Struthio camelus: one gene and its partner. The protein of the gene in region 1 purifies or fractionates together with the protein of each later gene. This does not show direct contact. Links are inferred from orthologs where the notes say so. Each region holds a gene or a part of one and is shown in the gene's direction. Other genes may lie near its edges.

Region 1 (3,912 bases):
CAGACGTCATTTTATTAATGAAAATTCTGGAACTGAGCAGTCTCACTGTTGCGTGTGCACGCACGCACATGTCCTGTGTTTGTGTGTGTGTATATATATACACATATATTGCCATGCATAATTTACGCATAAGGATTTAATCATACTGGACTTGAGGAGAACAGAAAGGAGGAAGAAGAAAAACATGAATAAACTATTACAGGAGAGACATGGGATATGGAAGATTGAATAGGATGAAAAAAGAACCAGCTGGCATATTGGGAGAAGAAGAGAAGTCATCTTTCTGCAGATGCCCAACCTTCCTTTTTTGTTCCCTTTTCTCACAATGTGCTGAGACCCTTTTATTGTTTTCCGATTCAGATACTTGCACAGTAAATGTAAACCATGCAGTTTGGAGTAATAAATCTATGATTATGGTGTATGGGTAATTTTGGCAATTTTAATCTAGATCTTTTCATTTGAAAGTGTTTTATATTAAAATAAGAAAAAGAGATAGAATAATTTGTAATTTTTAAAGCCAAGCAGCTTTCCAGTGAATGCTGTATTACCTGCAATGCACCAAATATAGCTTACCAAACTGGGCTGGTTGTTTTTAATCTGCCATATCTTTTGCTCCAGCGTTTTTTGTTTGTTGGATTAAAATGTGACATTCTCAGGACAATTCCTTCTATCTCGTGTAGGAGAAACAGGTCTGAATCTTGCTGGGTTTCCTTCTAGAAAAAAGGATTTTTATATGAAGATCTCTGGACATAATGAAAATATGGCGTATGTGGTGCTTGGAGTCTTGGGCTGCGCTACCAAGCTTCACCAGCACAGATAAGGTTGCTCAAGGTGTGGAAAATTAATACAAATGTGGCTGGTGTAGCTCAAGTGGCAGGATCCCCATCACGTATGCAGCAAGCAGTGGTAGGAGGCTGATTTTGCCAATTCACCATAGGTTATTCAAGGAAGTGGTAGAAATATTTTGGCGAAAACCCTCCTGCTATCAGCATGCTTTCGTTTAGCCTAGGGCTTTGCCAGTTCAATTTGCTGGCGCACCTAAGAAAGCTGAGACCGCTTGTGGCAGACGAGGTTGGGATTGACGCTTTCAAATAATGCAGTTAGTCTTCATTGGAGATTTGTGTTCCTATTCTGTATTTTTGAAAAGTTGCTAAGTTTTTATTTTATGTGTGAATTTAGTCAGTGGAACATAATTCAGCTCCTGACAGCTTGTGGCTGACACCTTGTGGGAAGTAAAAAGTGGATATGTTTACAGTTACAATAAGCACTTACTTATTTTCCAGATGTGTTGCTTTAAAGTCCCGTGATCTCTAGCTTCCTATCATTTTGGTGTGTGCTCACTTACTTACACCTGACAAAATGGGAGACGTGGAGGAAGAATTCCAGTGGAAGCAGAAAAATAAAATGTAATAGCTGTGTGGTGATTCTGTCTCACATGACTGAAAGAAAAAATGTTTTGCTTTTGGCCGTGCTTGCTGCTAAATACCCTGTCATAGTGCGTGAGGTGACTCACGACTTGTTTATTTATAGCAGCGGCCAATCAAAGCTGAACCCTCTGAACTTCATTCAAGACAAGCAGACGCTTAGGATGTGTTGTAAACATTTGCTTTCTGAGCAAGGAGCACTTTTCTGGGGAGCAAACAAAACAGGTTCCTCGGTTGTTGCTTCTGAAACACACAAGAGACTAGAAGATCTTTGCCTGGATCATCTAGATTGGTAAAGAGAGAGATACTTTTATTTTTTTTTAACATCTGAAATGCCAGACAGTGAGGATCTGGGACAAGATGAAAGGTACCGTAAATTGATTCTGATGGCCTTTTCATACAGAACTGTGTAAACCAAAGCTTTGTGTGATTAGTCTATACGAGCTCCTGAGTTCTCATCCTGAATCTAACATCAGTTTGTTCTGCATTTTAACAGATCATCTAATTCTTGGGCGGTTGCCTCTGAAAGTGATCTAAGGCTTTTTAGATCAGAGAAGTGTTAGACCTTAATGTCTGCTTAGAGATGAAGCTGTACAGCTCTTACACAATTTTTAAAATAAAGCTGAACAGGACGAAATCCTGGATGATTTCTACCAAGTAACTTTTCCTGAACAGGAGACACCTTACAAGCCTCAAAATGTCAGAGAGACAAAAAACTTATGTGGAGCCACATAATGAAGGATCCAAAAGTCATTACTGTCCCTCTGAAGTATGCCTGTCTTCTTCATGTGTATTTTTTATCTTAATTCGCTTATAAAAACAGCAGACAGGAAAAGAAGAAAGTGGCTGGATCTAAAACTTAACAGCAATTTAAGAAGTAAGGTTTTTCTCAAATGTGTTCTTATATGTTTTCTCAAACAGCACATTCCTGTGGAAATAAATGCACTAATTAAATTTAAGTACATATATATTTTAAAAGCAGATGTTACTGATGTTTGTCTATGGCAGAGTTTATAGTTTGGGTTTCTTAAAGTCCAAATGTCTTCCCATATTTAAGATTTTCACTGTTTCGATACTAATTCATAAGTTGGCTCCACAACGTGTTAAGGAAATACTTGATTTTACAAAACCTCTGCTTTATGGAACAGAAGATTGTCGTGTATGTGGAAGCTCAGAGGTTAATTTAAAAACAAACGAATACACACACAGAAATGCCAGTGTATACAGGCAAATTTAAAAAATTACAAGAATCAGAAGTTAACATTTGGTTATGGCTTGGCATTTGAATTCTTCTAGTTACATTTAAATTTGTCTGAGGTGGATGTTTTTCCAGTGGGCGTATCAGTGTGTTGTTGTAAGAAGTACAGAAAACACTTTTCTGGTTGTCTCTTGTAGGTCAGTATGTTCAGACACGATCACCTAGTTGGATATGTGTGGGTGAATGGGTCCCCAGTGGCATAACTGGGTCTCTGCATGGGTGGGGTTCACCTACACATTTCCTGGGTATTTACTGGGACTTTAAATGATGGCCTTTATATGATAGATTAGAAGTAATTTGAGCAGTAGGTGACACTTTTTTTTTCTAACGGAATATTGATTGGTTATTGATAGCCACTGAACTGGTAATTGCTTTCCATGATCAACTGTTTAGCAGGAACTCCTGTTTGTTAAACTGCATATTTTTCAGCACAGAAAAACAGTGGTATGTGTGATGCATTAAAAAAGAGATTTCTCATTATAATCGATTTTTTTTTCTTTTGAATCAAATGTATAAAGGATATGCCTTTCTGTGGAAATGAGATTTTCTTTAATCAAATACAAGATGGAAAAAAAGTCTTACCAGCTGTGGAAAATAATACCATAATTTGGATTTTGAAATAAAATTAACGTGCTGTTTACTAGCATGCAAAAGTAATTAAATTGCCATGCAAAAGGCATGAGCTTCCTAATGCCTAAATTCCTTTGTTCACATGTCTGTCTTTATAAAGACTTGTAACAAGCTTTGCCAATTGAATAAAGGTAACACTGCAAGCCCAAACCTCTAAGACTTCTTATTTTATACATCAGAGCCTTTTTATTAATCAAAAAAGGGTAAATGCTTCTAAAGCAGTAACTCAAAACGGCATAAGAGGGCCTGCTGTTGCTGTTTGTCATTTCTGAAACTCCCATTAAATTAATTGGCCCTGATCCTAGTCCCTAATCCTTTTGTGCCTTTCCTATTGAGCAAAAAGTTTTGAGGAAGTAGTCCAGTCAAAAAGTTCAGATTTTTCCGGATTGAGTTTGCCTTTTTGTCTCATTGGTAGCAAATAGGACAGAACTTGAGAACATTCTTACGTAAGTGCTAATGAGATTTGGAGGAGGTCAAAATATTTTCATGCAAGCTACGCGGAAGGGAATAGAAGGAGGAGCTCTGGGAACTGTACTAGAGCAATATGGGAACAATACTGGAGCAGTTCATTTTAAAGTTTTGCTAAAGGAGAGATTGGAA
Region 2 (3,912 bases), on another chromosome or scaffold:
CTACAAGGGGGAAAAAATGTTAGAGTCTAGTTAACTTTTCCTTTTAATTGGCGACACTTTTAATAATTGGAGCAGTTGGTCGGTTTGTTTGTTTTTTTTTAAATAGATGCGAACTTTCATGTCTCCTTTTACCAAACGCGTACGTATCCATTAACGTTTTGAGGTCGCCCAGGTTCCATGCTGATTCACTGAAGCGTTGCATCAGCATAGTCCAGCTTTTGTCGCAGCCCATCTGGAGGAACATTAAACACGGCTCCTTGTGCAACGTTGTCATTCTATTTCTGTTGTTTTTTATTTTATTTACGGTAGCTCTAGAAATAGCCTGCCCTACTTGTAGTTGTGCTGTGGGCTTTAAAACATTCAGCATAGAAGCTGCTTTAAACGCAAGACGGAAGAGACTGAGAGGCTCGTTAGGCGAGAAACGATGGAGGCAGCCGCGTGTATGGCAAGTATCCGAGCGGTACAGGTAAGCCTGGTTTACTGCGGAGGGTCACGGATGCGGCCTGCGCGCCTGGCCGCGCGGTGATCCGCCTGCCTCCAGCCTCGCTGCCGGAACCGACAGTACCGTTTGGGATATACTTGAGACGGGATCTTCGAGACTGCCTGGACGTGCCGGGCCTGGCGCTCGCCCCGCTCCCCGGGAGCCGGCCGGAGCGAGGCCCGCGGGCTGCCTGCTCGCTGTCGGCGGGGCACGGCCTTCCTGTCAGCTGCAGAGCACCGGTGCTATTTATAGAGCTAGGAGCCACTGCGGCAGCTGTGTGCTGATTCAGAGGGGAAAATTCCTTCTGCGAGGGGCGGAAGCCGCCTCCAACCTCTGCGGCGAGCGTGAGCGCTGGAAAGCCGCGTGGGGAAAGGGCCTCCATCACCTGAAGGTAATTAGGGGGAAAACAGAAGGAAAGGACGACGTCCGGCCTGCTAGCGGTCGGGCGCTCCTCTCCCCTCAGCCTCTTCCCTTCCGCGCGGAGGCGCCTGCCCGTCCTCGTGACCCCACCCCCGACGCGGCGGCCATCTTCCCGCGGCCCCGCCCCCGCCCGGGCGGGGGCCGGCCGCTGTCGGCCAAACACCGCCTCTTCGCGCCTCCCCTTTAAGGAGCGTTGTGGTGACGTCACCCGGCCGGCTGCGGCTCCCGCTCGAGCGCAGGCCGGGCCGCCGCCGCGCGCCAGACGCCGCCGCCGCCGCCATGCCCTCGGACCGGCCCTTCAAACAGCGCCGCACCTTCGGTGAGCCGGGGCCGGGGGGCCGCGGCCGGGCTCGGGCTCCCCTCCCCTCCCCTCCCCTCCCTCCGCGGCGGGCGCCGGCCGCAGCCCCCGAGCAGCCGGAGCCGGAGGCTGCCCCGCGGCCCTGCGGGGGGCGGCGGCCGGCGGCGCCGCAGCCGCGCGCTGATGTAATGCCGGCCGGGAGCCGGGGGGGCGGCGGCGGCCGTTGGCTTTAACGGCTGCTTTTTGACGGGCCGCCGGCCCTCCAAGCCCGCTTCGCGGGAAGGAGCTGGAGCCTCGGCCTGGGCGTTCCCGGTGCCTGCGCACGGGAAACCGGAGCGCGGCTCGGAGGCGACACGAGCGGGTCGTGTGTCCGTGCCCTTAGCAGTCACCGCGGGGGGGGGACGAGGAGGAGGGAGCCCCTGAGCTCAGGCCTGTGCGAGCGCCGGGAGCGTTCAAGTGCAGAAGTAATAAGCGCCCTGGGGACCTGTGACATCCGTGCCGTAGCCAGGGGCGCGGGCGCCAGAGCTGCTCTGAGCTGGGGGACTGTAGCGCGCAGGTAGGTCTGAGCTGTAACGGTGGCATCCGACTGGCCTCGGAGGCCTGGGGGAGCCTTGCTGCTTGTGTGTCAGCAAAGCCTTTGGGGCCGGGCTTGCGAAGTCCCGTGCGAGATGCTTGTGCGCTGAACGCACAGCCGCGTACGTAAACGACCGGGATGTATTTATAATGACACGCATGTAGTGTCTGCCGCAGGAATGCGGTTATGAACCCGGGAAGGTAACCAAATCGCCTACTTACTTTTTATAGGCCCTTCTGAACATATGTCATTCTGAATAGCTAGCCTCCAAAGGATAAATGCTGTTGCTTTTTATCAAAATATTCGTATCCTTGTCTTATATCACCTTTTGTTGTTGTACTTGACTAGGGAGATACTTGCTGAATAAGCCCCCATGTTTAAAGCATGAAATAATACATTGCTCCAGAGTAAGCGTCATCCCAAGGGTAGCTGCTGTAAGTGAGGGCAAGAAATGTGTCTTTTGCACCTGGCTGAGTCATCAGCCTCCTGTGTGACTTTTTTTGTGTCTCCATTGGAAGAAGTGGGGTAACTAACGACCGTTTTAGAATGGGCTTTAAAGTCTACAGAAAAGAGTAGTAGTCAAAAGCTAAATGTTCTTGTTTCATGTTTGCCCTGGGTCCTGTCTTTAAACTTGTGACTGTCAGAGAACAGTAATCTCTTCAGAAATTACTCTCCCTGTTCCCTATCCGGTTAGCGTTAGAGTCGTTATTGTTCCGAGGGCTTGATACACCTCTTAAATTTTCTGAGTCTTAAGAAAACTCAAATGCTGAGACCATACCCATTACTGTGTTGAAGTGTACTTCGTGGGAAAACTCAAATGACAAAAAGGTTTCCGTAAATGGTACCAGCTTTGATTGCCAAACTTGATAGTGAAATCAGATGAACGTGGACTTCTGTTTCCCTTGACCTTTTCCAGCTGGCATTGGGAAACATGCATGTTTCTGTTGGATTAATTCTGAGGGGTGGGAGGGGAGTATCAGTTGAGCATTGCTGTCTGAATAATGCCAAAGTCAATGTCTTCAGGCCAAATAAGGCCGCCTTCTGTGTCAGATACTGCCCAAACAAAGGTGAGGGTGTTTTCTCTGTGAATTTAAAAATTGGAGTTTTTTCCTACTGAACTGTGGATCCAACCCCTTGCTGCACTCTTGGAAACTGTAAATATTTGTTAATTTATTATCACGACCCTTCTGGCCTTAAAACACTTCCCCAGCCTTCCCATGCTGCAGCAACCAATCCAAGCAAATGTGCACAAACAGGAATAACATGAACTCTGGGTACCCTGGGATACTTTTTTGGGTCCCTGCTGTATCTTGTATTTTCTTAAGCTGTATATTAAAAGCCAATAAAGTTCTGAATTAAACCCTTAGCAGCTACTTACTCTTAAACTGGTGAGAGCCAGCTTCTTATGGCCAGAGTTTGGTTTCCCCTTTGCAAATTGCTCAGCTTTTCTACAAGCCAAAGGAAAACAAAATCCAAGGCTCAGAGGAGGTGAAAGCAAGCAGGATTAAAATAGCTCAGAAGGGACAGGGTGGGGGATGAGGGAGTTTGGTGCTGGCAACTGCAAGTGCTCCTTGTTTCTGTGTACTTTCCTCTGCCCTTTTGCTCTCTCAGCTGACTGGTTTGCAGAATTCTCCCAGGGGGAGGGGAAGGAGGAGGCGGCAGAGGCCTGGCAGCCCACGCAGTTGCTTTGGGTCAGGGCTGGAATTGCTCGGCTGGAGAAAGTAAATACATCTTGTTTTCGTCTTCAAATCATTACACAACAGGAGCAGGAAGTGATTGTTTACAATGCAGTTGGAGAGAACTGATGGAAAATACCTCCAGCTACACTGTATATTCAGAATGGCTTAATTTTTAAGGCTTCAAAACTACAGAAGTGGAACAGTTCCAAAAAAACGGAGAAAAGGCAGAGTCAGGAGTATGACTGTTTACAAAAACTGTTCTGGCTCCAGTTGCATGGCAAATGGCTTGCTTGGATCTTGGTCTTGTTTTGCCGCCCATTCCTGAAGATTCCACTTTCCTCAATGCCTGTTTCCCCCTTCTTGTATATTAGAGACTGAGATTTATTTTTCTATGATTTTCTTCTGCTTGTTGCTCTGCTTGCTGTGGGGTCTGTTCTAAATAAGCTTTCCATATTCATAT

Evidence for each region.
Region 2: the proteins of RETREG1 (region 1) and MAP1LC3A purify together in Homo sapiens (affinity purification with western blotting; 3 studies listed by BioGRID and IntAct, with this or other methods). This does not show direct contact. The link is inferred for Struthio camelus from reciprocal best matches to the Homo sapiens genes RETREG1 and MAP1LC3A.

Annotation. Positions count from the first base shown.
Region 1 is NC_090943.1:83,882,491-83,886,402, reverse strand, and holds the start of RETREG1 (reticulophagy regulator 1), read left to right. Parts: upstream 1-1,564; 5' UTR 1,565-1,756; coding exon 1,757-1,791; intron 1,792-3,912. UniProt on the Homo sapiens protein: Endoplasmic reticulum (ER)-anchored autophagy regulator which mediates ER delivery into lysosomes through sequestration into autophagosomes.
Region 2 is NC_090959.1:3,829,258-3,833,169, forward strand, and holds the start of MAP1LC3A (microtubule-associated proteins 1A/1B light chain 3A), read left to right. Parts: upstream 1-1,039; 5' UTR 1,040-1,180; coding exon 1,181-1,220; intron 1,221-3,912. UniProt on the Homo sapiens protein: Ubiquitin-like modifier involved in formation of autophagosomal vacuoles (autophagosomes). While LC3s are involved in elongation of the phagophore membrane, the GABARAP/GATE-16 subfamily is essential for a later stage in autophagosome maturation.